Rattus norvegicus: one gene and its partners. The protein of the gene in region 3 purifies or fractionates together with the protein of the main gene of each other region. This does not show direct contact. Links are inferred from orthologs where the notes say so. Each region holds a gene or a part of one and is shown on either strand. Other genes may lie near its edges.

Evidence for each region.
Region 1: the proteins of Rnf7 (region 3) and Asb1 purify together in Homo sapiens (co-immunoprecipitation; 3 studies listed by BioGRID and IntAct, with this or other methods). This does not show direct contact. The link is inferred for Rattus norvegicus from reciprocal best matches to the Homo sapiens genes RNF7 and ASB1.
Region 2: the proteins of Rnf7 (region 3) and Asb6 purify together in Homo sapiens (co-immunoprecipitation; 4 studies listed by BioGRID and IntAct, counting the BioPlex papers as one, with this or other methods). This does not show direct contact. The link is inferred for Rattus norvegicus from reciprocal best matches to the Homo sapiens genes RNF7 and ASB6.
Region 4: the proteins of Rnf7 (region 3) and Asb7 purify together in Homo sapiens (co-immunoprecipitation; 4 studies listed by BioGRID and IntAct, with this or other methods). This does not show direct contact. The link is inferred for Rattus norvegicus from reciprocal best matches to the Homo sapiens genes RNF7 and ASB7.
Region 5: the proteins of Rnf7 (region 3) and Spsb2 purify together in Homo sapiens (co-immunoprecipitation; 3 studies listed by BioGRID and IntAct, with this or other methods). This does not show direct contact. The link is inferred for Rattus norvegicus from reciprocal best matches to the Homo sapiens genes RNF7 and SPSB2.
Region 6: the proteins of Rnf7 (region 3) and Rab40b purify together in Homo sapiens (affinity purification with mass spectrometry; 3 studies listed by BioGRID and IntAct, with this or other methods). This does not show direct contact. The link is inferred for Rattus norvegicus from reciprocal best matches to the Homo sapiens genes RNF7 and RAB40B.
Region 7: the proteins of Rnf7 (region 3) and Tulp4 purify together in Homo sapiens (co-immunoprecipitation; 3 studies listed by BioGRID and IntAct, with this or other methods). This does not show direct contact. The link is inferred for Rattus norvegicus from reciprocal best matches to the Homo sapiens genes RNF7 and TULP4.

Annotation. Positions count from the first base shown.
Region 1 is NC_086027.1:99,566,441-99,570,700, reverse strand, and holds the start of Asb1 (ankyrin repeat and SOCS box protein 1), read right to left. Parts: upstream 2,801-4,260; 5' UTR 2,086-2,800; coding exon 2,037-2,085; coding exon of another isoform or gene 2,032-2,036; exon of another isoform or gene 1,790-2,031; coding exon of another isoform or gene 1,750-1,789; exon of another isoform or gene 1,414-1,749; coding exon of another isoform or gene 1,358-1,413; intron 1-1,357. UniProt on the Homo sapiens protein: Probable substrate-recognition component of a SCF-like ECS (Elongin-Cullin-SOCS-box protein) E3 ligase complex which mediates the ubiquitination and subsequent proteasomal degradation of target proteins.
Region 2 is NC_086021.1:34,510,234-34,514,488, reverse strand, and holds the start of Asb6 (ankyrin repeat and SOCS box protein 6), read left to right. Parts: upstream 1-1,455; 5' UTR 1,456-1,567; coding exon 1,568-1,680; exon of another isoform or gene 1,681-1,758; intron 1,759-2,690; coding exon 2,691-2,866; intron 2,867-3,639; coding exon 3,640-3,746; intron 3,747-3,836; coding exon 3,837-3,945; intron 3,946-4,255. UniProt on the Homo sapiens protein: Probable substrate-recognition component of a SCF-like ECS (Elongin-Cullin-SOCS-box protein) E3 ubiquitin-protein ligase complex which mediates the ubiquitination and subsequent proteasomal degradation of target proteins.
Region 3 is NC_086026.1:105,924,606-105,928,693, forward strand, and holds the start of Rnf7 (RING-box protein 2), read right to left. Parts: upstream 2,801-4,088; 5' UTR 2,758-2,800; coding exon 2,583-2,757; intron 1-2,582. UniProt on the Homo sapiens protein: Catalytic component of multiple cullin-5-RING E3 ubiquitin-protein ligase complexes (ECS complexes), which mediate the ubiquitination and subsequent proteasomal degradation of target proteins.
Region 4 is NC_086019.1:129,674,706-129,678,933, forward strand, and holds the start of Asb7 (ankyrin repeat and SOCS box protein 7), read right to left. Parts: upstream 2,801-4,228; 5' UTR 2,356-2,800; intron 2,172-2,355; 5' UTR 2,074-2,171; intron 1,243-2,073; exon of another isoform or gene 1,153-1,242; intron 1-1,152. UniProt on the Homo sapiens protein: Probable substrate-recognition component of a SCF-like ECS (Elongin-Cullin-SOCS-box protein) E3 ubiquitin-protein ligase complex which mediates the ubiquitination and subsequent proteasomal degradation of target proteins.
Region 5 is NC_086022.1:159,298,497-159,302,068, forward strand, and holds Spsb2 (SPRY domain-containing SOCS box protein 2), read left to right. Parts: upstream 1-1,377; 5' UTR 1,378-1,541; intron 1,542-1,735; 5' UTR 1,736-1,814; coding exon 1,815-2,478; coding exon of another isoform or gene 2,479-2,645; exon of another isoform or gene 2,646-2,724; coding exon 2,725-2,855; 3' UTR 2,856-3,072; downstream 3,073-3,572. UniProt on the Homo sapiens protein: Substrate recognition component of a SCF-like ECS (Elongin BC-CUL2/5-SOCS-box protein) E3 ubiquitin-protein ligase complex which mediates the ubiquitination and subsequent proteasomal degradation of target proteins.
Region 6 is NC_086028.1:107,154,576-107,158,646, reverse strand, and holds the start of Rab40b (ras-related protein Rab-40B), read left to right. Parts: upstream 1-1,271; 5' UTR 1,272-1,381; coding exon 1,382-1,526; intron 1,527-4,071. UniProt on the Homo sapiens protein: RAB40B small GTPase acts as substrate-recognition components of the ECS(RAB40B) E3 ubiquitin ligase complex which mediates the ubiquitination of target proteins.
Region 7 is NC_086019.1:49,086,414-49,090,685, forward strand, and holds the start of Tulp4 (tubby-related protein 4), read left to right. Parts: upstream 1-1,472; 5' UTR 1,473-1,601; intron 1,602-1,703; exon of another isoform or gene 1,704-2,275; intron 2,276-4,272. UniProt on the Homo sapiens protein: May be a substrate-recognition component of a SCF-like ECS (Elongin-Cullin-SOCS-box protein) E3 ubiquitin ligase complex which mediates the ubiquitination and subsequent proteasomal degradation of target proteins.

The DNA of each region.
Region 1 (4,260 bases), on a different chromosome or scaffold from region 3:
TTGTAGATATACATAAGGGAAATAGCTTTTGTTGTTTTAGTAAGAATAACAGGTGGCAGGAACTCTACCATACTAGATAACAAAACTCGTACCAGACTAGAAAGAAAACAAAAACAAAAACAAAAACAAAAACAAAATTGTTTTCTCAAAAAAACAATTGAGAAAAGAATCAATTCTCCAGGAAAATCTTAATCTTAGTATACATAGCTTAGCTGTAGCAAACAGGCACAGAATCCACCTAAGACATGTAGTCTGTGGAGAGTTGTACAACTAACCACCTACTCGGAGACCTTGCATCTTTGCTCACATCACAGCCCAAACTAACTGAAAAGGTTAAACATTGCACCAATAGGTGCTATAAAGACAGCACAAATTCTAACTGCTTAGATTCAAGTCCCCCACCCTGTAGTGATGTCCTAGCATGCTACCAAGCATAGCTCAAAAGCATATCCCTTCACACACAGGTCTTTTCTTGATGCTGAAGTTGTTTCATATTCGAATACAATATCCTTTGCGCCCCCACAGACTCTCCTAGAGGTACACGGTGGTGATGATTAAGTATCCTTGCCCTCCAGGTTCTGAAAGTCCGTTGCCTGGGCTAAGACCAAGGCTAGAGGCAGCACAATGTCCACAAACACCTATGTGGTTCACTTGATCCCATAACCAGATGCACAGCAGACCAACAAGATGCATCAAGCCTGGAAAGGGCTCTGTCCAGCGCTTCCAGGTCCTCCTTCAATTACTGTAACCACAGCGCAGTTACCAACAGGTATAAAAGTCAAAGCCAAAGTTGGGGAAGATTCAGATGCATGGGGTAACTGTCAGGAAAGTGGGCTGCATCAGAGGACTTGAGCAAGTCTCTGGACCTCCCTTTGGTCACCTCTCCTCTATGCTCCCAGCCCAGGCCGCCAATGGACCTTCAGAATCTCCCCAAGTCCTAGAGTCAAAGGCCATACCTACAAGATAGCACTCAAGACCCGCGCCTCCACCCAAGCTGGAAACACAAACCAACAAAAAGGCACTAAAAGGACCAGGGCGGGCGGGTGTGTGTAAAACCACTTTTTCTTCCACAGGACCCTTTCATGTGTTAAGAAATAGCTGTCCTTTAATCAACCACTTCTCTTCCACCTCTCATTCCTGAATGAAAGGTCAATCCACTCTAAGATCTTGTCTGTTCCTGAGATCAAATTCAATGCCAAACATAGCTCTTGGTGGTAGAGGCCTTGTCTTGTTTTTTCACAGCCCCAGGTGAGCCAAGCCAATAAATAATACATCATCAACAAATGTTCGTTGAATTGATGGACGGAAGAATGACAAAAGACTGTCAACATTGTGGCTTTCTGAGATTTTTGCATACCTAGGAGAGCTCCTTGAACAGAACATGTGCTTCTCCAAAACCAGAGATGGGCACATGTGGCAGGTTCAGAAAGACCCCAAGGTGGATCTTGTACCAGGAAATTCTCCCAGGAATTGTTAGTTCCATAGAAGCAACACGGCAAAGTGGAGATTCTTTAAGTCAGGTGACAAGTGTCACCCTTTCGCTGCAGGTGGATCAAGCGCCCCTGTAAGAGCTGTGTCACTGGCAAGCTCTCTGGGGACAGCATTGTCCTTAAGGTGGGTGGGGGTGGGGCGGAGGACGTTTGTCCAGTGGCTACCGAGCGGGTATGTGCTGACTGGCAGGATGGGGAAAGGGAACCTGTCCGACGAAGGCTGACCTCTGAGGGCCTTTACTGACCACTGTGCTCATACCTGGAAGAAAATCCGTACCCCATGGCAGAGCTAGGGTCATCGCAGACTGGGATCGGCTAACAGGGTGGCGGTTACAAGGCTAGCTCCACCAGAAAGAAACCCCGTAGGAGGGCTGTCCACGAGAGACCAAGGGTGGGGGTGCGCGCCTGGGGTCGCGCGAAGCCTGACGTACACATTTATTGACCCTGGCCCGCGAGGACGGAAGCCCGAGCCCGGGACGCCCGAGGGCCACTCTGACTGACCGGAGACGCAATACCTTCCCCACCATCCCTAGCCGCGTACGTTACCTGCGGGCCCTGGGCCGGCCCGCCCATCGGGGCTCCCGCCCTCCGCCATGCCTACTTGGTCCTCAGCCTCCGCCCAGACCCCGTCGCCTGTCCGCCTCCTCAGCGAGCCTGTCAAAGAGCAACCCTGTCAGAGAAACACCTCCGGCGTTTCCGGCAGGTGGGCGTGTCTGGAGCTCGGCTTCCGCCGAGTATGCGCCTCCCTTCTGTACTTCCTGCTCTGCGCGCAGGGTGCAGGGGCCTCCACTTCCGGTCTGGCTAATAGACTTGATTGCTAATCAGGGAAGGTTGACAAAACTGCGTCTACTAGGAAGCGCCGGGATTTGGGGAAACGCCTCTCCTCTATAGGTGGAGGCGTCTTCGAATGCCTCAGGAACTCCTGGTTGGTAGATTTTGTCCCCGCCCACGGAGGCCGGGACGTGGGCGGGGCCGGTCCGGCAGCGGCTGAGGGTAGTGGAGTGACGTTGGCCTACGCTGCTGTCCTTTCTTCGAGAATCCAAACGGCGCCTTCCAAGTAACTTGTAAAGTTGTGTTAGGTGAAGGCAGCCCAGAATGTCTCCATGGAGCCAACAGTGTTTGTAACTTGGCCAAGGCGTGTTGTCCTGGTGGCTTTCCCCCCGAGCACTCCCGATTTTACATCAGTCACACTGTGCGCATTGCTTTTTCGAACAGTTCTTAAGCATGGACGCTTTCGGGTCCTTTCATTCTCCCCTACACGGCTTAGGGAAGGTACCTTGCAGGGGGAGGACCCCAGTGGACTGGGGAGGCTGCGCCTTAAGGAGACAGAAGCGCTGCTTCACCGTCCGGTGAGGCGGAGGCGAGGCCGCAGTCCCCAGCACCGTGGCTGTGACTTGTCTGCATCTTTGTGTGGTCATGGCACACCAGCTGGGAGCTAGCGACTATAGGTGCCCAGCAAATCCTCCTGCCCAGATTAGATCAGTTGCACAGGTCTGGGGAGTTGTGTGAGACAATCTGGAACAGAGCCACGGGCTCTGAGGGTGTTTATTGGAAAGCGGGGAGATTCCTGCAGTGGTGTTTGGTCTTGATACCAAACACCACTGGCATGCGGGACAGGTGACACCAATGACGCTGCAAGGCAAAGAGCCAGAGGTGGCCCAACCTTATGGCTCTGCTCCATCCCAAACTGGGATGCCACAAGTGTAAAACCACCCAGATGTGCATGATCAGATAAATACACCTCAAAATGCGTTGCCGTGGTTATCCACATAGCCTTTAAAAGACCACTGTCCTAGGTTACAGCAGGGCCAATCCTGGAGGACCCTATGCTCAGTGAATTAAGCCCACAATAAAGAATAAAGACTGCATGATTCTAAAGGAGGTCACTAAAGGAGTCAACTTTGTAGAAACAGAGTGGAATTAGTAGGTGCCAGTTTGCTGCCAGAAAAGGGAGTGTCACTGGTGAGGGAACAGAGATAAAACTCCATGCTGTCACCCTAGACTGAGAACTTCATTGTGACCAAAACTCAGGCCTAACGAGACTCATGGTTTTGACTCAGAAAAAAAAGAAAAAGAAAAACTGTTAAGACTAATGGAAACAATGTTGAGGTTTTATTTAAAATAGTTTAACATTAGACTCTGACCACAAGACTTAGAAGAAAGGAACTAAGAAAGGCATGCCCAAGAATAGCTCCACAACCCTTATGGAGCTACCATATACACCATTTTGATGGTTCTCAACTTAGATCTCAAAAGGGGTGTGTGTGTGTGTGTGTGTGTGTGTGTGTGTGTATGAGATTATGGGGTGGCTTCAGACATACCTTGGATGGAATTATAATCTGACAAAATAAAGCTAGGAGCCACTGGCTGCATGAGCCTTGTACGTGTCCTTTTCCTGTAAAAGTTTCTAGTAAGAGTCCTGGAAAATTGCAGGTGTGGAAGTGTGGAAGGAAGAAGGCTTTGAGCAGTTAATCGTGCTGGGATCCCCGTTTCTCTGTTGGCAAGTGACTTCAACCAAGTTCCTGGGTAAAGGGCTCCTCTTTCTCCTCACATCTCCATAATTTCCTTTTCTATCCTATCTCAGAAGAAATAGGAAGTGAGTACTTTTTCAAAGTTTTTTTGGGGGAGGTGAGGGGATGGTGCAAATAGAGACAGGATCTTATTTATGTAGCCCTTGGCTGGCCCGGGGCTCATATGTAAGTGAGTCTCGACTTAGCGCATTGAGGTCCACCTGCCTTTGCTTCCCAGGTGCTGGGAAAGTACACCACCA
Region 2 (4,255 bases), on a different chromosome or scaffold from region 3:
GCCTACATGGACGGCTGTGTACCACTTTTGTGCCTAATGCCCACAGAGTCCAGAAGAGGGCGACAGAGCCCCGTGGATTGAACCTGGGCTGCGCCATCTCTCCGGAAACCCGCCACCCTCCATCCCACTCCTTCCCTTTGGGAGATAGGGCCTCCCTACGTAGTCCTGACTGGCTAAGAACAGGACCTAGGTCCTTTCCAGAGCAGCCAGTGTTCTTAATTGCTGGGCATCTCTCCAGCCCCTTCTACAGATTTTTCCCCATTATTCCCTAAACAATTACCAACTTGATATTTACTCTGTTGGGTGCAGAGACATCTAGAACTGATATAGAGGAGCTGTGTAACCATTCCATGTAAGATCCTTGAATGCCCACTGGGTTTGGTGTCCTGGGCATCCCAGAACCAAGCTTGTGATCTCAACACTTGAGAAGTGGCGGCAGGAAGCTCAGGAGTACAATGGCAGCCAGCCTCAGCTATTCTGAGAGTTCAAGGCCAGCCCAAGCTATATGAGATCCTGTCTTTATTTTTTTAATATTATTTATTACATATAAGTACACCGTCAGTCTCTTCAGACACACCAGAAGAGGGCATCAGATCTCATTACAGATGGTTGTGAGCCACCATGTGGTTGCTGGGATTTGAACTCAGGACCTCTGGAAGAGTGGTCGGTGCTCTTAACCACTGAGCCATCTCTCCAGCCCCAGATCCTGTCTTTAAAACAAACAAGAAACTTTGTTCCGTGCCAGTAACTCTGTGGCAGATGGCAGGTGCCAAGCAGAGAGACCACAAGCCCCCACAAAGGATTGGAGCCATGGCTATGATGATGCAGCCTCAGGACCACTGACACCTACCCATAACTGGCCTTTCTAGAATCATCAGGGCCTTGCTGCAGGACTCAAAGTCGCAGCCACTCAAATTTGTGTAGGGGGAAGCTACCTGGTACAATTCTTTCTGTTGCGTCTCTGCTGCCTTCCCACTCAGGGTCTAGGGAAGTGATATTATGCCAATTTTACAGACCAGGACAGGAAGGGTCACCGAGTTCCTCCAGGAAAAGCGGGAAAAGTGGGCACCCTGTTTAGCCAGGGGGTGAAGGGACAGAGAATAATGAATTGTCCCCAGTATTTGTGGGGAAGAGTTAGGGTGCAAGGTCCTCATTGCGCCATTCAGTTCAGAGTAGAGAGACTTCCTTAGGAAGTGGCCAAAATCAAATAGGCTGCAGAAAGCAGTGTCCGGGCTCCGAACTGGGCCTATGTCACCTCGGGCAGGAGCAGGTCAGTAGCGGGGCCACACTCCCCCTTGGAGCTTGGACGCCCTGCAGCGGCCTCGCGGGGAATTTCAGGGCGGGGCGGAGCCGGGGCAGTGATGATAGTCGCGAGGTCCTCCCCGGCGGTAGGGGGCACTGTAATGCACATGAGCCCTCACAGGCCCTCAGGACAGGAAGTAGGGGTGGTAGGATAACTTCCGGTGCGGAACTGAGGCCTGGGAGGACGACTGCTCACCGGCGCGGGGTCTGAACCGGTAGATCGGGAGGTGGTGGCGAGTGGGTATCCGGACGCGCGGCCGACGCCATGCCGTTCCTGCACGGCTTCCGCAGGATCATCTTCGAGTACCAGCCCCTGGTGGACGCCATCCTGGGTGCCCTGGGCATCCAGGATCTGGAGCGGCAGGAGCCTCTGGATGAGTGAGTCGCTGCGGTCCCCTGTGGTTGTCGCGGCGGGAGCGGGAGCTGCGTGGCTGCGAGCTCGAGCGCCAGCCTGAGGTGGGCTCGCAGCGTCTTGCAGGGCAGAGGGCCAGGGCCCCGGAGCCGCTCCCTGTGCATGGATGCCGGAGGAGAGGTCCTGGCTGGGACCGACAGCGCTTTTTGCAGACAGCAGGCCTCTTCGAGAGTCTCTGGGGGAAGCAAGCCGGTGTGGTCCGTGTGCCCTGTGCAGACTTCCTTGGGTACTAGGAGCGCTACGCCTTCGGAGTGCTTGTGCCACCGAGACAGACCAGCACCCAGACCAGCACCGTGGGGTGGGATGCAGGGAGTAGGGCGGGGCAAAGGAATAGCACTGGGAGAGTCATGAGCCGGAATTGCAGACTTTCAGTCTCAACAAGGATGTCTTTTCTAAACCACACTAGCTCGCTCTTCTGCGGCCTACTCTGTAAATGTAGTGCCAGGCGGTTTCCAGAACTCGGAGGCGGGGCAGCAGGGCTGCACAAGGCGCTACTGCCCTCCCTTGGCGGAAACTAGCATATTCAAGAAGGCCGCCCTAGATAAGCGTTTGGTCAGATCTTGGATCCCACCTGTTGCAAGAGAAGAGGTCTGGTGGGTGAGATTAGGGAGAAGAGCAACTGAGGAGCATTGGGACAGGAAGGTGACTCTGAAGGTGGTGTCTGAGCCATTGTCCAGAGCTGGGGCAATGTATGGAGTAGTGTCCAGGCCCAAGTAGCACTTAGTAGGTAGTTTTGTCTAGGAAGGGTGAGAGCTTTAGGGCCACCCTCGTGGTGGTATGAGAGAGGACGGGACAGAGCCAGGCCTTTGACAGCAAGCTGAAGGATGGCTTTGAAGTCACTTCACACATTTGACCAAGAAAGAGTTGTGTCCCACAGAGCATGGGCAGTTTGTGTGGGTGATTGTGGAAGGGCACACAGGCTAGGGCCACTGGTCCCCAGGAGTTCCCACTTGGTCTTTTCTGCCTCTTGGTGCAGTTACGCTTCCAGTGAGGAGAGCCGGATCCTGGTCCTTACGGAGCTGCTGGAGCAGAAGGCCCACTCTCCTTTCTACCAGGAAGGTGTGAGCAATGCTCTGCTGAAGATGGCCGAGCTGGGCCTGACCCGGGCAGCTGCGGTCCTCCTGCAGAGTGGGGCCAACCTCAACTTTGAAGGTCAGCAGCGGCCTGAGAATGGGGGTGGGGGCGAGCAGGGCTAGGCAGTCAGCCCTGGCCTCTGCTTCCCCTCTTGTCTTTGGGGTGACTTCCCATGTTCTTTTCCTTTGGGTGGCTTTCTGGGGGCTCTTAGCACCTCTCCTCCCACATCTTCCAGATTAATCCTTCTGCTGTGGAGAAAGTACACTGGCAGTGCCCAGAGCTAAGGGAAGGTGATTTTCTCTGAGCTGTCCTGCAGGTGTTGCTCTGGTCCTAGGGGTGGGGAGATAAGCCACACTAGGCATCAGTGACGGCAGGCTGCCTAGGTTCTTTAAGCGTCAGGTCAGGGATGATGAAGTGTCAGCCACCTGCCTTGTCTCTGGCTGTCACCCCAGGAGGTAGGAGACAGGTGGGGCTGCCAGTGCTGACCCACACGCATGCTTTTGTGTCTTTCATTGGAGAACATGCTCAGAGGATGTAGGAAACTTGGGATCCTGCAAACTACAGATGGGGGGGGGGCTGGGGGAGGGTGTTCCAAAGCCCATCCACATGGTCAAATGGCCTGGCTGTGAGACACATTTGGAAGGCTGAGGCAGAGGGATCTCTGGTGACCTTGAGCCCAAACCAGGTCAAGGCTACCGGGGCTGGCCATGCTGCTGAGCTTGAGCACTTTGCGTTCTCCTCAGGACAGTCCTGAGGAAACTTCATCTTCACACCTGAGGTGGGGGTGCCAGGGAGAGTCTCTGAGGCTAGGTCCTTCGAGAACAGACTAACCCGAACTTCCTTGCCTTCAGACCCTGTCACCTACTACACAGCCCTGCACATTGCTGTCCTGAGAAACCAGCCTGACATGGTGGAGCTGCTGGTGCGCCACGGGGCTGATATCAACAGGAGGGACCGGGTAAGGGTCAGCTCCAATCTTGGGCATGATTAGTAGGTTCACCAGCGAAAGCCACCCCAGGCAACATGGCTGCTATCCCCTTTGGTTCAGATCCACGAGAGCAGCCCCTTGGATCTGGCCAGTGAGGAACCTGAACGCCTGCCCTGCCTGCAGCGCCTCTTGGATCTTGGAGCAGATGTCAACGCAGCAGACAAGAATGGTAAGAGATGGCTCAGAGGTTAAGAGCACTGGCTGTTCTTCCAGAGGTCCTGAGTTCAAGTCCCAGCATCCACACATGGCAGATCACAACTGTCTTTAACCGTGTTTCCAGGAGATCTGATGATCTCATCTGGTACAGACATACCTCATGTAGGCAAAGCACTCATACGTAAAGTAAGAAGAGTGCTGTGGTGGGAGGCTGGCCGTCCCAGGGACTGGGTACCTGATAAAAGTTCGGGAAGGACAGGCAGGTGTCTGGGTGCTGGCCCCAGTAGGTGGCATAGCCACAGCTGGCACCCAGGCAGAGGGTG
Region 3 (4,088 bases):
TAAAATGTTTCTAAGTCTCTTTTTAAGTCTTTTTCCCCCTTTTGTTTTATCTTGCCTGGCCTGGATTTTCTACAGACAAGGCTGCTCTTGAATTAACATGCTGAGATGCTCTTGCCTCTGTCTCAAGTTAGAGATTTGCCACACTTTGATCAAAGAAATAGTTCTGTGAATGATGTTCCTAATCTGAGACAGTATTTCTACAGCATACAACAATAACCTTTCAAACAATGCCAGGGATCAGGACTACCAAGTCTTAATTTAATTCCCTGTGGTCACCTGACCACTGAGTGGCACTAAGCTCTCACAGCCCACGAACATGACCAGGAGTTATCTATAACCCAAACTTGGGCCTACGTTAAGCACCTGTCTGTGCTGTAACATTTCATTGGTTACTTTAGGATCTACATCTCTTACTATTTAGATTTGTGGAAAAAATAGCCCTTCCAAGGAAAAAAATCCTTTTAAAACTTCCCTTTGGGTGCTCGCTTCGGCAGCACATATACTAAAACTTCCCTTTGGAAAGATTCATCCTAAACTAAGAAAGAGCTAAAAGAAAGTCTCTCTTGGGCTGGAGAGATAGCTCAATGATCAAGAGCACTGACTGTTCTTCCAGAGGTCCGGAGTTCAATTCTCAGCAACCACATGGTGGCTCACAACCATCTGTAATGGGATCTGATGCGCTCTTTTGGTGTGTCTGAAGACAGCTACTGTGTACTTATAGATAATAAATCTTTCTTCTTCTTCTTCTTTTTTTAAAAAAGTCTCTCTTTTTAAATTAAAGATATTTAAGGTTTATTCATTATTTATTTGTTTGTAAGATAGGGTCCCCCTACTTAGCCTCAGCTGTGTCGACCAGGCTGGCCTCTAACACAGAGATCTGCTTATCTTTGCCTGAGTGCTGAGATGAAAGATACCATTACACCTGGTAGGAATAAAATTTCTAAGCAAAGCTTGTGTTGAAAAAGAACAAAAGTAATGCCCCTGCCTCAGCCTCCTGAGTGCCGGTATTTGCCGGTATTTCAGACATGAGTCACCACACTCAACTCTGAAATGGAAATTATGGCCCAGTTCCTAAGCAAGGGAGAAGGGTGGAACAGCTGTATTTTAGTGTTTTAGTCAAATCGGATATTTAGAAACTAGTGTTTACACAGTAAACAAGTAAAGTTTGGAACCGTGTTGAAAACTTCCTGAAAAGCGAGTACAAAGACTTCAGAATCTCTTGATTGCACATTTGCAAACTACAGAAATCTATTTCAATCAACACCCCCATCACCTTGTAAAGCATTCTCACAGTAATCTAAAATTACGTTTATGCTACCTGCATCTGTGTTTGCATACCAAATGTGCCTAATGCCCTCAAGGGTCATAACGGGGTGCTGGAGTTATTGGAACAGGAGTTAGAGGGTGATGAGCTGCCAGGTGGGTGTGGAACATCAAACTGTGGTTGTGGTGCTCCTAACTGTGGAAACATCTCTCCAGTCCCTCCCTGGCTTTGGTTTTGTTCGAGCCTGACCTCAAATGCACTGCTGTCCCTCCAGCTTCAGTCTTCAGAGTGTTGTTATTACAGGTACAACCAACACACTGGAAGACAGGCTGGTTATGCAGCTCAGTTGGTAGTGTACCGAGATGAAGCTCAAACCCCAGCATGCCTTAGGCCTGCTGGTTCATTTCTGTAAATTGTAGCACTTGGGAGGAGGACGCATCAGGAGACACCCTGGCTACACAAGATAGACCCTTTCTAAAAAAGAGGAAGAGTCTGGCAATGGTGGCACACACTTTTAAACCCAGCACTAAGGAGACAAAGGCAGGTGCATCCCAGCCTGGTCTACAGAGTTCCAGAATAGCCAGGGCTACACAAATAAACCCTGTCTGGAAAAAAAAGACAGAGACAGGGTTCTTTTCAAGGTGGACTGAGCTCTTAACTGTGCAAAACTCAACTAGATTGTCTTGATACGTTTCATTTTGGTCTGATATTTTCGTTCAAAATACTAAAACAGACGACTATGAAAGGAAGTTCTTCGAAAAGGCACAAAATAGCAGGGTAGTGTTTTCTCTACGAAATGGTGTCTTAGGATGGGAAGGGTGCAAGATGAAGTTTCTGAATCAAGCAAACCTTGGCCCTCGCTTCAACACAGGAAAGTTCTGATCCGTCTTGTCAAAATAAAATTTAAAAGCCAGCCAAGTAGCACCACCGAATGCATCCGGAAGCAAACAGACTGAGCATCATTTCGGTTATGACAGAATCCAGATAGTGGCGTAGGCTCGCAATTTCCAGAATTTGGGAGGTGCAGGCAGGAGCCTCAAGGGTTCAAAGTCAACCTCGGATAAATAGGCAAGCTCTAATCCAGCCTGAGGAACGTGAGAGCATCTCAAAAACATTAAACATCCCAACCCTCAGATCCACGAGAGGGATCCGCTGTGGGATTTGCTGGCCGCTAGGCTGCCCAGGAAAACCCCGAGGTTCCTCTCCCGGAACCCGGTCACGCCCACTTCCTGCAGGAACTATCCGGTGTCTGGAGGCCCGGTCCAGCATTCGCCGGCCAGGCCCGCCCAGCGGTCCCGACTTCGCGTGCATCGCTTACCCATCACCTGGACCCTGCAGATGGCGCAGGTATCGCACTCAACGTCCCAGCTCCACATGGCTACCGCGTTCCACTTCTTGAGGGAGAACATCTTGTCGCCTCCCGACTTGGAGCCTGCGCTCCCAGAATGCGAGGAAAGGACGCAGGGTTCCTCGCCGTCCTCCACGTCGGCCATGGCGGCGGCGCAGAACGGCTACGCGGACGTTGGGCGCGGAGGCGGGGAGGTATGGTGGCTCAGCAGGGTCACAACACAAGCCACAGACCCTCCTCAAGGAACAGTCGCTCAGCCGGAGCCAGGCGAGGCTGATTGGCTGGCGCGGGACAGTGACGTCATGAGGGGCTGGGCGAGGCCTGTACAAGCTCTTGTAGTGGACACAGGCCAGTTACTGCATGACAGGCAAGGAACAGTGAGCGAGCAGTCTGGAGTCCTATTGTATTAAACTCGGAGCTTTCAAAAAATCACCTTGTCCCTGCCTCCATTTGTCTCTTTTTTTCCCAAATGTGCACTATCTGAGTAGGGACAGAAATCTCTTTACTGTAACCTCTGTATCTTACAAAATGGCTGCTTGGTACAAAATGGTTGGCCTTGAATTCAGAGATTTTTTTTTTTAATATTTTAACTTTATTTTATGTGCATTGCTGTGAGGTGTCAGATTCCTTGGAACTGGAATTACAGACAGTTGTAATCTGTTATGTGGGTGCTGGGAACTGAACCCTGATCTTTGAGAAAAACAGACTGTTCTCTTAACCACTGAGCGGTCTCTCCAGACATTACATCTTGGGTTTCTTTAAGCTTAAAATGTATTAGGACCTTAACCTTTTTTGTTGTTATTTTTCGTTTTGTTTTGTTTTTGGTTTGGTTTTTTGAGGCAGGATTTCCTTGTGGAACCTTGGCTGTTCTGAAATTAGCTCTGGTCTCAGCCTGGCCTACCCCATGCCCGTGCCTCCCCAGTGGCGAGATTAAAGGTATGCGCCACCACACTCTGCTTCTGGTTGTGGTTCTGAGACGGGTTCTCACTGTGTAGCCCCAACTGGCTTAGAACTCATTATGTAGACTAGGCTGGCTTTGGATCACAGAGGTCTGCCTGCCTCTGCTTCTGGAGTGCTCTGATTCAAGGTGTGCACCAACCTAGGCCTGGCTTTTAGGATCTGCGAAGGCTCAACTCTCGTCAACCGCCATTCTTCAGGTTGTTTTTATCACCTGGGAAAGGTGGTGGAAACCCTCTTGCAGCCACTCCTGCTGCTAAAATTCCCACTGAAGAAAGATTTACACGACGACTCCAGTTAAGCCAATTAGAAGTATGTGAGGCAGTGGGGCCATGGTGGTGTACACCTTACTCCCAGCACTTGGGAGACAGCGGCAGGTGGATCTTTGTCACGTTTCAGGCAACCAAAGCTACACAGAGAAGCCTTGTCTTCAAAACCAAAACCAAAACCAGCCAAACAAAAAATACATAAGTCCCTTTATTAGTGCATGACCAAGTTCCGGCTCATGCCTCAGAGTCT
Region 4 (4,228 bases), on a different chromosome or scaffold from region 3:
ACTTAAACGGCAACAATAACCTGGCTGGGAACCAAGACAGAGCAATGTTCTGTCTTTACAAGTCTGACTAGCGATCCTCATTTACAACCTCAGGTAAAAAGAGCCCTCACTTAGGAACACTAGCAAATTAGGTTCACTCTAAAGCAGAAAAATACTCTCTACCCCACCAAGAAGATACAAGATATATACTGCATTCTATCTCTGAAATACAATCCAAATATTTTATTACCAATTTTTAAAAAGTTATACAGTAACCAGAAGGCATCATATTGCTGAGTTCCATATTTAACCACTGAGTCACCTCTCTAGCCCTGAGTTCTGTATTTAAATAATAACAACCACTCTTCAACTTGAGATTTTGCCTTGATATATAAAATTATATATATATATATTTTTTTTCCTCCATAGTACTGTCACTGGTGAATATTAGGAGTTTTTTTCTTTTCTTTTCATTTTGTTTTTTAAAACTGTGTCTTCCTCTGTAGCCAGCCCAGGTTGGCTTCAAATTCTCCATCTTCCTGCCTCAGGGTCCCCATTCCTCAGGCTAGAAAGTATAGCAATTACATACAGTAAGGCATAGTGGCGCAGGCCTTTGATCCCAGCACTGAGGAGGCAGAGGCAGGCAGATCTGAGTTCAAGGCTATCCTGGTCTACAAAGAGTTTCTGTACACAGAGAAACCCTGTCTTAAAGCACCAGAAATTTAAAAAAGAAGAAGAAAGAAGAGCTAATACGTACTATTTTAAAGTTCCATTCATAGCATACTCCTTCTTTGGTGTGTAGTTTCAAGTCTTAAAAATGTGCAAGCCCTCAGAGCCCCTTAAAAATTATCTTTATGTCTTAAGGACCAGTAGAATCAAAGGGACTTGTGTGTGTATGTGTGTGTGTGTGTGTGTGTGTGTGTGTGTGTGTGTGTGTGTGTACAAACATGCAAAAGACAGGAAATATAAAGGAATAAAAAGCCTACCATTTTGAATATTCTTTGTACTAAAGTTCCAAAAACCATTTGAGATACTAAAATAAATTAGTAACATTTTATGTGATAACAAACGTTATAGATTTGCCCGTTAGGCAGTCTCTCGGTTGTCCTTTATAATCTCTCCCTCTCGTTTATTTGTATACATGTTCTCTTCATATTAATGTTCTAAACTTACCTTTAGGGCATTTTCGGAGGCAGCAACAAAATAGGCAGCAGAAATCTGAGCACATGACCTAGGTGCTTACATTTCAATCTAGTAAATTCTCTGTAAGGGTTTTAAAATGAGAAAACAAGAATGACCACTGCCAAAAACCAAGCAGCAGATAGCTAAACATACCCAAGCAATACTTTGTTCTAAAATTCCTGACTGTGCCACTATTGTCAAGGCGATACATTGTACATTTTTATAAGTTCACCTAGAACACCAGAGACATAGCAAATACTATGTATCACTTTATAACAACTCCAGTGTCCATCCATTTTGTCACAAACACACACACACAAAACCCCATAGGAAACTATATACTTTGTTTCAGGGGCTAATATTGCTTTTATACAGTTTCTGCACTGTTCCCAGTCACTTTTTCCAGGAAAACCAAACCCAATTAGTTTCAGTCCTCCAGTTCACCTTCTGCTACTAAGCCATTATCAGTTAGGTAACTCTTGAAGCTTTCCTGATGGAGGAATAGAGAAAAAAAAAATGTACATGGACATACCAGTAAATTGTGGTTTAATTAAAAGCAGCATCATTCAGAATTAACAAGCAATTAACATGGAATTGAAGAATTCCTATGAGAGTAAGGAAGGCAAGGAACTACAAAAAGGTCTCCAAGCCTCAGAGCAGAGTAAGTGACACAGTATACCAAAAGATAATGCAAAACACGGAAACACTCTGACCGGGTTCCAGAAGACATTTCTGGAGTACGGAAGTTATTGAGGTGTTAAGGATCAGGCACGGGCAATGCTTCTGTTTTTGCTAGGAAACTAGGATCTAAGAAAGCTTACATTCCCAGGCAACCACCCTGAAAATAAAGCATTACTTAATGAGGTAGGGGCCAGGAGTAAACAATGGGGGAAGGGAGGTCTGGCTCTTTACCTTTGGAGAGGATGCTTGTCCAAAGCACTCTGCTTATTGCTCCTCTGGTGGGTGGCCAGACCCCTTCTGCTCGGGAGTGTCTTCCAACCAGCTCAAACCTGGAAAACAGAAACCAATCAGTGGTGCAGTGATCCAGGATTGAGGAGAGGGCTCTGAGGATGGGGGAGCTAAGAAAGGGCTGGAGGGAAGCAAGGGCAGGCAGGCTGGAGCAGGGCTTCTCCCCCCAACCCCCACCCACCCCGCCAGCCCCTTCCCCTCGAAGGAGGAAGAAACTGACTTTACCTGTGTCCTCAGCTGCAGCTCCTCTCTCTCCTTTCAGCCTCCTCCACATTCACCAACTTCTCCATTGAAGAAACACCCCAGGCAGGGCCGGACACCGTGTTCCTGATCCTCCTCAGTGCTTCACGGCCCCAGCCCGGTGAGCATCCAGATAGTCGATCAGGCTGGGGGTGGCGGTCTTGGCCTCGGAGCAGCCTCCGGGAAGGGGTGCTGGGAGGAAGTGCCGGCTCGGAGGGGTGGGGGGGCAGTCCCGGTCCAGGGGCTCAGACCAAGGGTCTGCTGCGCGCCGGGCCGGAGGCTTTCAGCTACCGAGGGACTCAAGAGGTCTGGGGACAGAGAGACACCAATCGTACCAGGTCCGAAGTGTCAGCAGCGGGGTGTCCCGACAGGGGGCTTTCGGGATGCACTTTGCACTGGGCCACCCCCGCCCCCTCCTTCCAGCACTTTGGGGTCACTGGGATGGGACCAAGCCTTCGACAACCAATCAGCTGCCGCACTGGAGCCTGCGCTCCAAGCCGTAAACCAGATCCGCGGTGGGTGGGGGTTGGGGTAGGGGGTGGGGGCGACTTGGTTGGTTGGTTGCTTCCTTCTCCTCACCCAGGGGCCCCCACCCCCTGGCTGTCGTAAAGCTGCCCGCGGATTCGCGACAGTTAGAGGAGGCGGGCTGGTAGAGGCTAGGACTCGTCTCCGATTGGTCGCTCTCACTTCGTCCCTCCGCTTCCCCGCGGCGGTTTTCGAGGCTCCACCCCCAGCCTGGAGACTCGAAGCGGTTGCTAAGAGACACTGTACTACGAGTGGGGCTTCTACGCCTGCTGAGGGAGGGGCCGGAGAGGCCTTCCGTGGAGTACGGTGGCCCGGAGTGGGCAGCTATGGGTGCGAGTGGCCGGGCGATGGCTGAGTGGCCGGGCCGGATGGCAGCCAGGTAACCCTGAGCCCAGGTTGAGCTGGGTAGCTGGAGAGACGTGTGGGTGGCAGGTTGAGCAGTGGGCAAAGCGACAGGGCCGAGGGCAGGCGAGGAGGGCCCCTACTGGCCGCTGCTCCTTGGCGCTTCTTGGAAGCGTGTGGTGCATCTGTCGGTCTCTGAGACCCGGTTAGCCTCCAGGCTGTCTGCGCCTCGCCCAACTTGCGAGAGAGCACGCTCTTTGGGATCGCCAGGCGGGTTCTAGGGCTTTCCTGCCAGGATAGCGACCCTCGCGGTTTCTTGTGAATGAAAAGAACCGGGAAAAATGCAAAAACACTGATACATTGTTTAAATTGTTTAAATACATTGATTATTTTAGCAAGTGTTTGCTGGGTTGACACTACTCTAGTTGTTGGAGAGACTTTGTGAACTTTTTTTTGTTTTTGCTTTTATCATAACAAGAGAAGATGAAACTGCAAAATGATTAGGGGAGAAAAACACAAAGTAATGGAATACGGTTTGTCTAGGATGTAGTGGACTCTTAGATTGTTAGCGAGGTCTGTCAGAGAATGACATTTGCACACTGTGAATGACAAAAAACTAGCCCAACAAAGATCTGAGGGAAGACCTTACACAGAGTTAGTCAGAAGTGACTTTTCCACAGGTGTCACCTCTTATGTGGACAACATAAGTTCACTAATTCCTAGGAAAAGTCAGTCAGGAATGGGGGTGTGGGACCAAAATTGAAATATCTTGAAGATGATATAGTTTTGTCAGGGACCACTGGGCCAAGCTGTCTAGTGCTGAATATATACAATGTTTCTAGGGGCTAGTAAATTCCCAGTAAAAAGGTAAAAGTAGACGAAAAAGAACTGAGTTGATTTCATTAGAAAAGAGGTTAGTGAAAGCCTGGGTATCTTCTAATTGCAGAGTGTTTAGGGGCCTCAGAGAAAGCATAATTATTAGCTTGTGGGT
Region 5 (3,572 bases), on a different chromosome or scaffold from region 3:
CCCCACCAAGAAAATGCCTTACAGCCAGATCTTATGGTGGCATTTTCTCAATTAAGGTTCCTTCCTTTCAGGCAGCTCTAAGAACTCTAGTTTGTGGGTCAAGTTGACGCAAGACTAGGCAGCACAGTGTATCCGTGCCATCACATTCGTGTGGAGTTCCGAAGAAATCGTTAACACCCCTGGGACTGGAACTCACGGACGTCTGTGAGCTTCAATGTGGCTGTGAGAACCTGAACTGGGGCCTCCACAAGAGCAGCCTGTGCTCTTACTGCCGAGCCATTGCAGCAGGCTCGCATCAGAGTTTTAAAACGTTAAAATTAGCTGGGTGTGACTCATACCTTTATAATCCTAGCATTTGAAAGTAGAGCTAAGAGGAACAGGAATTCAAGGCCAGCTCTTGCCTACAGAGCCACTTCTGTCCTAGATGGGCTACAAGAAACCATTTGAAACCCATCCAAACAACAATAACTACAGCAACAACGTTAAAATTAGGCTGGGCACAGGGTACACACCTTTAATGCCAACACTCAGGAGGCAGAGGCAGGCTGATCAGTGTGAGTTCAACCTAGTCTACAGAGGGAGTTCTAGGCCCTCTCTGCTCTCCCCACCTCTCTCTCTCTCTCTCTCTCTCTCTCTCTCTCTCTCTCTCTCTCTCACACACACACACACACACACACACACACACACACACACACACACACATTTAACTTACTGGTAGCATTATGTGATTTTTAAACTGTTATCAATAGACATCCAAGGAGGTCAAACTTCAATGACAATCTCTCCATGATAACGCAGATAGTAGTCTAACTTCACTCAGAACTAACCCTCAAAGCACACATCCTCTAGACAACGTGCCCACTAGTAGTCCCATTACTCAGGAGGCTGAAGCAGGAGGATGAATGGTTACCGCTTCAGCCACATAGGGAGACAGGCAGGGAACAATCTCAATCCCTACGTTCTCCTAAACGGGAGCAGTAGGTCAGGAAGGGTGTGAAGGCCTTTTCCTAATCTCAGGATCGACTTGCTCAGGCAGCGCAAAGGTCTCCAGTGGAGAAGTCTCCACACACGCAGAATCCAAGGCGATGACGTCATCAAAGGGTTAATTCTAGGCTGGGATGGGGGGAGGGCGGGGCACGCAGCTGTCAGGTGGCTTCGGAAAAATAAACTGCTGGGAGTCCTGGGAGGGACAAGAGATTACCCACCCAGAGTGTGCCCCACAAAACATGAGCGCTTGTCCACATTTGAAGTCATCACACACTCCTTGCCTGAATTCTTTGCAGACGGTGGGTTCCCAGGACGGGAAATGATGTGGCGGGCGTGGTCCGGGAGGTGACGATAGGGTTAATCGTCTCCAGAGCCCAGGGGCGGAGCGCAGGCGGGCGTCCTACGGCCCCGCTGGAGCCGGAAGCGGTTGCTGGTCAGGGGCGCTTCCACCCTTCCCTATCTGTGCTTCCACTGAGGTCTCTGAGGGGTAGGGGGAGCCCAGTGAGGTGCGGGATAGGGGCCGGGCCTTAGAGACCTCAAGGGGACGGTCCACGGTAAGGTCTGAGGGAGAAAAGTCGTGAAAAACTTGGGGGGAAAGGCGCGACGCAGATGGGGTGAAAGTGATGGGCCTGGGCGGGTTGGGGGACCAAGGGAAGATGAGGCTGGTTCGCATACACCGGTGAACGGATGGGAGCCTCAGGGAAAGATGCTACGCCTAACAGTCCTTTCTTTCTCCACGCCACTCCAGGGGACGATCCGGAGCTCAACTTTCAAAAGACAGACGCCCCAACAAGCCTGTTTTGAGAAGTTCTTCAGCTGCTCACCTCATGGGCCAGACGGCCCTGGCAAGGGGCAGCAGCAGCACCCCTAGCTCGCACGCTCTGTACTCTGACTTATCTCCTCCCGAGGGCTTGGAGGAGCTCCTGTCCGCACCCCCTCCTGACCTAGGGGCCCAACGACACCACGGCTGGAACCCCAAGGATTGCTCCGAGAACATCGATGTCAAGGAAGGGGGACTGTGCTTTGAGCGGCGCCCTGTGGCCCAGAGCACTGATGGAGTCCGGGGAAAGAGGGGCTATTCGAGAGGCCTGCATGCCTGGGAGATCAGCTGGCCCCTGGAGCAAAGGGGAACACACGCCGTGGTGGGCGTGGCCACCGCCCTCGCCCCGCTGCAGGCTGACCACTACGCGGCGCTTTTGGGCAGCAACAGCGAGTCCTGGGGCTGGGATATTGGGAGGGGAAAATTGTATCATCAGAGTAAGGGCCTTGAGGCCCCCCAGTACCCAGCCGGACCTCAGGGTGAGCAGCTAGTGGTGCCAGAGAGACTGTTGGTGGTTCTGGACATGGAGGAGGGAACTCTGGGCTACTCTATTGGGGGCACGTACCTGGGACCAGCCTTCCGTGGACTGAAGGGGAGGACCCTTTATCCCTCTGTAAGTGCTGTTTGGGGACAGTGCCAGGTCCGCATCCGCTACCTGGGCGAAAGAAGAGGTGAGATCTGGACTAGGTGTGTGTGGGGGGCAGGGAGGATACCACTTTTGACAATGGGTTGGGGTGGAAACTCGTGGTCGGACCACAGGAAATGGGCTTCAAGTCACTTAGGTGGCCTTGGCTCTAGCTTCACTTCCAGAAATTCAGAGCTTTTGGGTCTCCCTTAGCTAGGGTGGAGGTGGAGAGAGAGTTTGAGGATGTCTGGCGGGAGTTGCTTGCTTACCCTGTCTTCCTTCTCTGTCTCAGCGGAGGAACCACAATCCCTTCTGCACCTGAGCCGCCTGTGTGTGCGCCATGCTCTGGGGGACACCCGGCTGGGTCAAATATCCAGTCTGCCATTGCCCCCTGCCATGAAACGCTATCTACTCTACAAATGACCCTGTGGCACAGGGTGTGCTGGCACCCTACCGTGGGGACAGGTGGAGAGGCACTGCTGGCCTAGACAACTTAAAAGCTGGAGCTGAGGGAAGGAGGCTGGACCCCTTCACTACCCCTTTTCACAGGAACAAGACATAGAAATGATACTATAGGCTGTGGCAGCTTTGGACAAAAGGTTTTTGAAGTAAAAAAAAAATGAGATATATTGTCACAGAACGTGTTTCATTATTGGTTCTTTTTACATTCCACTTGCCCCCCCCCCTCGAGGCTAGAGCCCCCTCACTGTCTTAAAATTATGACAAACCATGTTTAGGCCCAGGTGTTTATTTCCCTTATATGTAGGATGGTTCACAAACACAATACAAGGGCTTCGGCACTACAGGGAGGGGATATCCCAGGCCTCTAAGAGTAAAAGGATCTTGGCCTTAATGTACACTGAAATTCAGACCCGAAGACTCTGAATCTCTGCATCACACATCCAGTAGGGCTTGGGAGTGAAGCTAGAGCCAAGGCCATCTAAGTGACAGGCCAAAGTGACAAGAAGCCTACTTCCTGTGGTCCAGCTGTGAGTTTCCATCCCAAACCAATGGAAGGCCGTTTTCACCCATTAGGGCCCAAAGGGACAGCTAGTTCTACTCCTTCCCCTCCTCAGGAAGCCATCTTGGTGACATATTTGATTTTACCCATTGTAAGTGGTAAAGGGATTGGCCTGGTCC
Region 6 (4,071 bases), on a different chromosome or scaffold from region 3:
GCAGATAGAACTTGAGACCAGCCTAGTCTACAAAGCCAGTTCCAGGACAGCAAGGGCTACTCAGAAAAATCCTGTCTGGAAAAACCCTATCTCAATTACCCATTCTAAACTGGCAACCGTATCTTGTAATTAGGGCTTATTATCATCAACTCTTTTTGAAAGGATAATGGTCCTTCTGGGAGGCAGCAGTCACCTTGTTCTGAGATCAACCTGTTCTGAGCCAAACCAGCCATGTCTGAATCACAGCACAGCCAAGACTCTTAGAACAATGTTCACAAATGCTTTTATAATTTCCTTCCACTGTTTTTCTTTCTTTCTTTCTTTCTTTCTTTCTTTCTTTCTTTCTTTCTTTCTTTCTTTCTTTTCTTTTTCGGAGCTCGGGACCGAACCCAGGCCTTGCGCTTGCTAGGCAAGCGCTCTACCACTGAGCTAAATCCCCAACCCCGCTTTTTCTTTTCTATACAGAAATATATGCTTCTTAACAGAGAGGAGGGTACCAGTGTAAGAGGTGCTTCCACTTCAGATTGCAAAAAGATGTAGGTAGCAGAGATGCTAAACTACAATTTATCTAAATAACTTAGTTCCTACTGGTGAGATGCTCCTGAGCAGAGAGAAGGCCTTGTTGATGGTCCACTGCTTCACCGCGGGAAAAAGACCAAAGACAGGTAGGCCCCTATCATGTGCTCTCTGCCGACAAACACGCAGGCACATGATGCACACACACTGACATGTATGGACAAAAACCCGTAGAGACCTCGAGGCGCCCACTAGCAGACACCTTTAGAGGTGCACTTATCCATGTGTCCACTTGGTGCTGAAACTCACAACTGCCTGTAACTTTAGTTACATCCGATGGCTACATGGATACACGCACATGTAACCTAAGGTCTCACACTAGCATTCGGAGCTCTGTGTAGCTGCTCTTGTATGCTCTTGTAACCAGGCAGGGACTCAAACACTTCCCACACCAATCTGGAGCCAGCTCCTGTTATGCACTAATACAGGGGAGGGAGTAAACACTAGCCACGCCCCTCATCGCCATGCCTGTCTTCTATTGGTTGCAGAAGCAGACCTCTCCCGCCTTCTGTTTCTTCTGGCTCGGCCTTAGGACCTCCATTGGCTTAGGCAACAAGTCCTCCCAAGAGTGGCGGTGGGCGTGGTGCGGAGGCGTTAAGAAATAGATGGGCGAGCTTGCTAACCAATGAGCATGTGTATACACCTCAGCAACTGAGATTCGCCAATGGCGAGGTAAGGTGGGCGGGGCTCTGCAGCTGTCAAGCGCCCCCGGCCGGTGGGGCGTTCGAGGGACCCGCGGCGCTCGGGGACCCTCCGCCGCCTGCGCGCAGCCTGGGGCCGGCATGGGCGGGGTGGCTGGGCCGGCATGATGAGCTCCTTGGGCAGCCCGGTGCGGGCCTACGATTTTTTACTTAAGTTCCTGTTGGTGGGCGACAGCGACGTGGGCAAGGGAGAGATCCTGGCCAGCTTGCAGGACGGAGCAGCCGAATCTCCTTACGGCCACCCGGCGGGTGAGCGCGGCTATAGCACCCGGAGTTGCAGCGCTGGGGTGTCGGTGCGAGCGGCCTTTCCAGCGTGGGTTTAGTCTCCAGAGCGGCTGGGTAGAGCTAGGTCCCGCATGCTGGGGAAGACTGCGCTCTGTGGGCGGAGTCCGCAAAGCGGCTCAGGGTGGGCGTTAAGGGAGATCGCAGGTGCGAGCGACGTGTTTGGGAGAAGTGCGTGGGATTACGGGAGGCGTGGGCAGAGAGGCAGCGGACCATGGAGCAGAGGAGACAACAGTCTCGGAGGCTATAACCTTTGGTGCGTGGGACTGCAAGCAGAGAGTAGAAAGACTAGACTCCAGCCTTTGATTCCAAGCACCAAGCTCTGTGTCCTAATGGACAGGACTTCCAGGAGGAGGAGTCTAAGTGACCCTGTAGAGTTGGCTAGGGTGTAGGAAGGAACCCAGTTAAAAGGCTAGAGTCCAGGAGACTGGACACAGGTGAGACCAAAGTGTCTCAGGCTCCAGGGCAGCGAGCTGTGTGTGTCCTAGAAGCTTGAGGTTTGAGACCTTGCACCCCAGAGGAAGGAGACAGAGTGGCAGAATCCTGAGCATAACATCCAAGAATAGTCACGTAGTGATCCAACCCTCAGACTGTGGCTGTGTACAGACTTCTATGACTCCCTATTGTGTCATTTGTGGGGGTTTCAACCCACCTTTCTAATACAGACCCTGTCCAGATGCCTGCCACCCTCTGTTCTCCGGACTTAAAGACTGCTTCCTGCATCTCCAGTCCCCTGGCAATGCCACAAGGTCTAGCAAGGGCCTAAAACTGTGTGGTCCAATGCCAGTAACTGCCAGCCTGGACAGCACAGATTTAGACCTTTCCTTTAGGGTGTAGCTCTGTTGGACAAGAGAGCAAGGGCGTGTACACAGTCGTGTCTCCAGGTCCCGGTGCTCAATGACGCTCGGGCTTCAGCAGAGGCAAAAGAGTAAAATGTTTAACAAGCTCCAAAAGGGGAGGTGAGTCTCACAGTAGATGACTGATGTGGGCAGAGAGAAAGGTGTTAATGACGTGTGAACAGACTTGCTACTGATTGGCTTGAGCAAGGCCACTGCACTTCTGTTGCTTTCCTATGTATTCTGTTGTCAACATGGTGTAAGAGATCGCAGGGGACTGATGCCGTACTTGTGGCCTTTGATTTACTACCTATTTCTTCAAGGGCTAAGAAAAGACCATGAGAAGAGCAGGCCAGGTATGGGTCTCACACCTGTAAACATGGCATTCGAGAAGCAGAGGGGGGAAAATTGCTGTGAGGTTGAGGCTAGCCTGGGCTACAATATAAGACCCTGTCTGGGGAAAACAAAACCGAATGGAAGGGAGTAAAATAGGGAGGAGAGATAAAGAGCAGGAAAATAAACAAGTAGAGGAGAGACAAACATTAAGAAGCTTGGGTCATCATTTGTGACGTGTCACGGGGAGGGTCTCTCCGTGCTCTGGTAGTGAGGTGTTCACAGCTTCATGCTCCACTCTCTTCATCCATGTCCGGGTTTTGTAACCCACTTTGCAATTTCCATACTGCAGAGGTTCGAAACACTAATTCTGTTTTGTAGATATTAGATCAGTGCTCTGTACTCCTGCAGTATTTAAATGAATTCAGCGCTAGCTAACTCTTTTTTTTTTTTTTTTTTTTTTTTGGTTCTTTTTTTCAGAGCTGGGGACCGAACCCAGGGCCTTGCGCTTCCTAGGCAAGCGCTCTACCACTGAGCTAAATCCCCAACCCCTGGCTAACTCTTTTAACTATAGCTACTCCTGAGTTCCTTACAATGCTGCTTCACCTTTCAATTTAAAAACCTTTTCAAGTTGCTTGCTCTGAAAACACATTGTCTTCGGCTGCACACAGTGTTCTTAGACTATACTGCTCTTTTCCCCTCAATACCTGGTAACTCGTTCACTGTCTTTCTGGTATCTTATGTTGTCATGGTGAAAACATCATGTCATCTGACTTTCTAAATGGGCGATTTGCCTTTTCTTTAGGAATCTTTTGAAGACTGTTTTTCCTTGCCTTACCTTGCTCAATCAGGCCATGACTCAAAAATTTTGATATATATTCTGAATTCCTAGATAAAAGAATACTTTCTTAGTTTTGAGGAATTTGCTTTAGGTCCACAAAATATCTCCCATTGCTTTGTGTTAATTTCTCATTTCTGTTACGAAAAATGACTGCAAACTGGCTTAAAACAACAGAAATTTACTCTTTACACGAAAAATGACTGCAAACTGGCTTAAAACAACAGAAATTTACTCTTTACACGGTTTGGTGTAAGTAGGACCTCATTTCTACATGGAACTCTAGGAAAGCACCTTCTTGTCTTTTCCAACCTTCAGAACCTCCCTGCACTCCAGGGTTCTTGGCCCCTTTCTTTGTCTTCAGAGACATTGGTAGCCAGTGATCTTTCTCAGGTCCCTTCTCTCTAGCATGAGCTCTCTTACCTCCTTTTTTTTTTTTTTTCCACTTCAGAGGACACAGTGATAATTTTTGTCCACATCAACAATCTGGGACAGTATCTCCTTT
Region 7 (4,272 bases), on a different chromosome or scaffold from region 3:
GCTATGGTGGACTGGTATACATAAAATAAATAAATCTTTAAATAAATGTTTGTTTCTCCCACTAATATTAAAAAAGCATTTTAAACATAAGAAAATGAAAAATACTGGGCCAGTGGGATTTCAGCAGCCAGAAGAAGGGTCCTGTTGCCAAATCTTCCTTTTAAGGGCTCCCAGTTGCCCCAGATTTCTAAATAGGAGGCAACTCTCTTCATTCCATAATTAGAAAGGTTTCTAAAATACAAAATGCAGATTCACAGCTGACCTAACAGATTGAGTGAGACCCACCTTCTGAAAGTGTCACGAAAGAGAATAGATCTTTAAGGGATAAGGAGTCGGGTGAGGCATAGAAGGCAAAAGATAGTAAAATTAAAAATACAGTGTTGGTAGAAGAGTGATTACAATTGAAAGAACACCATGCTATTCAGGCAGGTGGCTCTCGGTGAGTTCCAGGCCAACCTGGTCTACACGGAGTTCCAAGCTACATAGTGAGACCTAGGCTCAAAACCAGAAACCAAAACATTTGTTAGCACTCGTAAAATCTCAAGCACAGAGTTGTAGAACCCGATGGACTCTTACTCAGACTTCTGATAGAATTAGCGGTGGGATAATTTTAAAACAGGAACTGGCTAGGCATGGTTTGAAATCCCAGCATTCATGAGGCAGGAGAATTGAGTTTGAGACCAGCCTACACTACATAGAGAAGACCCTGTCTGTAACAAATGAACACACACAAAACCGTAAAATGGTTTTAACGTTTGCCGATGCTCAGAAATAGGAAACAGTGCCTAACAGTTGGGAAGAGTGTCTACTGTTCTTAGCCTTGCCTCAAGGAAAGATGCGATCTTGTCTATTTTTAAATTTCAACCACGCATTCTCTACACCCAGCAACGCCTTCTTTGTAACAGTGGAAAACCGAGGGATGGCTGAAGTTTCCGTTCTTAGCACATCAATTTAACCGTGTGTGTTGGGGGGGGGGGGCGCTAAAGGCTGAGACTGTGCCTGTGTGACTTAAAATGACGCTATGGATTCGTTTCTCCCTGAAAGCAACTGGAGGGGGTACTGACGTGACAGCAGCAGCACCGCCGAAGACACTTGAATGACTGTTTCCAGGGGAGCCACGTTGCTCATAGTACGAGTCGCTGTGTGCTCTGCAGCGGCTCTGTCTGGGTAGGAGAAGGCGTGATGTCCACTTCCGGCCCCCGCTGACAAGATCGGGCGTGAGGACTCTGGAGGAGGTGAGTGGTCCAGGCTGGGCGCCCAGGCGGAGGCGGGCGACGCGGGAGGTGCTAGAGTCTGGGGAGTCGAGCGGCGCGTGGGAGGCTCGAGACCGCACCCCGCTCCCGGGCCCGCGCGCGCGCGCGCACCGGGCAGCGCCACCCGCCGCGGGTCCGACCGGGGAGGCGCCGGGTCACGTGGCGCGGTCACGTGCTCCCCTAGCCCGACTGGCGGTCGCGGCGGCGGCCGAGAGAGGCGGAGTCTCGGCCGAGACGCGGGGGGTGGGGGGGAGGTGGCGGCGGCGGCGGCGGCGGCGGCGGCGGCGCCGAGGGCTGCCGGAGGCGGAGGCGGAGAGGCACCGGGCCGCCGCCACGGCCGCTAAGGAGGTGAGGCTGGGATGGGCGGCCGCGAGGGCCCGGGCGGCGGGGGCCGGGCAGTGGGCACGGCAGGGGCGGCGGGCGCGGGGCTCCTCAGCGGACCCTTAGCTCGGGCGGCCGGCGCCTAGCTAGCTCGTTCGCCTTTTGTTCCGGCGTGCGAGGAACTGGGCCGACCGAGGAGCTCGGGCGTGCGTGTGTAAATCAGAAGGCGTTTGGCTCGGAGCCATGTTTTTTTTCCCCCCTTCTCCTTAATTGTGCAGACAGAAAAATCCCTTCCACCGGTTTTCCCGGGGAGACGGGCTGCGCCGGCCCGGCCTCCCCACAGTCCCTCGTTTGCTCTGTCGGCCTCCGGGTCCCGGGGCGGCTCTCTTTCCTTTTTCTCTTTCCTGCTCTTCCCACCTTCAGCCAAGCGGGGCCAGCCAGCGGGTGAGCGGGGTGTCTGCAAAGCAGCCCGGTCACCTGTCGTAGCAGCTGCATGGAAATCCCGGCGCTTTTGCTGTCTGGAGCCTGTGCGGTTTCCTCTGGCAAATCACGGAGATTCCGCTCCCAGAACCAACCCTTCCTCTTTTGCTCTGCACTCTCTTAACCCAGCTCCTGATGCTGATGTGAAGTTTCACCGTTTGGGGACAATTAGCAAGGAGGTGTCCACTTCTTTCTTTCAGAGGCACCGCTTGCTTGGGAAGGTGAGAGCCATCTAGCTTTGTGGCTTGAATTGGATGTGGAGGGGTTGACAGTCGTCAGTAAGATTCATGTCACTTAGGGACCTGTTCCTTCTACCTGCCAACCTTCCCATGTCACTCTACTCCCTCTGGGGATAATCGTTTTCCCTTGGGGAGGGAACTGTTTTCAGGGTTTCTTTACTTGGGGACTCTGTTTTTTTTAAAAAAAATTCTTTTATTTAGATGGGGTCTTTTAGTCCTGGCTGGCCTGGGACTCACTGTGTAGACTGGGCTGGCCTAGTACAGAGAAAGCCAGGCCCACCTCTTTATTTTACACTGGTAGAGCATCTTAAGGGTATTTCCTTACGTTTTTTGTAGCAGGTTTTAGGAGGGGCAGTTGTTCCTAAGGTTTAGAGGAATGTAAAAACCATCCTGAGATTCTCTTATTTTTAGCCTGTGGGTTCTTTTGTTTGTTTTGTTTTTGTTTTGTTTTAATATCTGGAGTCACCACTCCTTGGTGGGAGTTTAGTTCTTGCAGGAAACCCAGAGGGATTGTGCCATATTCCTGGAGAGTTCCAATTTGGGATTGATGTGAAATGCCTGGGCCCATGCACATAGCCGTGGCAAAAGACCCACAGGGAGACTCCTAGCCTTCAGGTGGGCAGCTGGGAGCTGTATAGTGACAGCCACGTTACAAAAGGGAGAGTCACATGTGTCCTTTCTTGTGATCTGCTGGAGAAATGATTGTATGAGCACATTACGAATAGCCAAGTCTCGTCTTTACTTTCTTAATCAAATAGCCATTTGTGTGATGACAGACTCACTAGACAATGAACATTTCTTGAAAACATCGAAGAGCTCTGTGGAAGCAACAGTGTTTTCAGCGATGGGGGAGGTGTTGCTTTCCTGACTTGGATATATGCTGTGCTGAGTTACAGGAAGTCACTTAAGGGAAAATATTTTTAATGCTTGTGGAGGGTTCAGGCATAGAGGGTGAGTGGAAAGCCAGCCTTACCACTTGTTCTGAGGACTAGCGGTCTATTTACTGCATGTATCCTAAGTAACTTAGAAACGATGAATGTGGATCATACTGGACTTTATGGTTTTCACAGGGAGACGTAAGAATTGAATTTGGTTATTCATAACTTTTTTTCCTCCACTAAAGCTTCAAATGGAATTTTAACCCTTAAAAGGATGGGTGATGGATGAAACCAGCTTATTTATTTTAGGATGAGTGTTTCCTTCTTTGCTTCCTTTCATACTCCTCTCTTTTTCTTTCTAGCTGTATTTTATGTGTTTGTGCCTGAGCCTATGTATGTTCTGTCTGAGGACAGAAAAGGGTGACACATGCTTGGAACCAAACCCAGGTCCCCCGCAAGAGCAGAGGTGCTCTTGATATGTTCACCCTCTTTATAGCCTCGTGAAGAGAGGGTTTTAAAAAATGTATTACTATTCTTGTGAAGAGAGTTTTAAATTGAGCCATCCACTGTTGATGTTGAGGTCCTAAGTCATGGATAGTGGAGACTGCAACCTTTCTGCATCCAGATTTCAGCTTGCTCTGATGGTTTATAGAACCAAAGACTTTTTTCCGAGTGTGCTACAGGTTGCATTCAGGAAGGTATGGGATGGCTCCTGTGAACTTGGGTAAGGTAGGTGGTAATCAGTGGCTTCATGCCTTAGACCACATTCGTAGCATTCATATTTCTCCTGTTCCCTGTGGAGGGCAAAGGTGAAGACAGTGGGAGTGACTGGTTGGGCATGTATTGGCAAAGCACAGTTTAAAACCTCAGGATGGAATGCTGTGGTACAGATACTGCATGCCTTCCTGTTTAGCATCTATGAGGTCTCCTCACTGTCCCAAGACTATTTGCTTGCACCGAGGCTGTTAGAAATGCATAGAATCTGAGATCACAATGTCAGATTTCTTTTAGTTTGGCTGGGGTAATGTTAATTTAGTTAGTAAATTTTAGCATAATTTAAATATTTTATGTTAAAGTATATATAAATAAAAGCTGGAATAC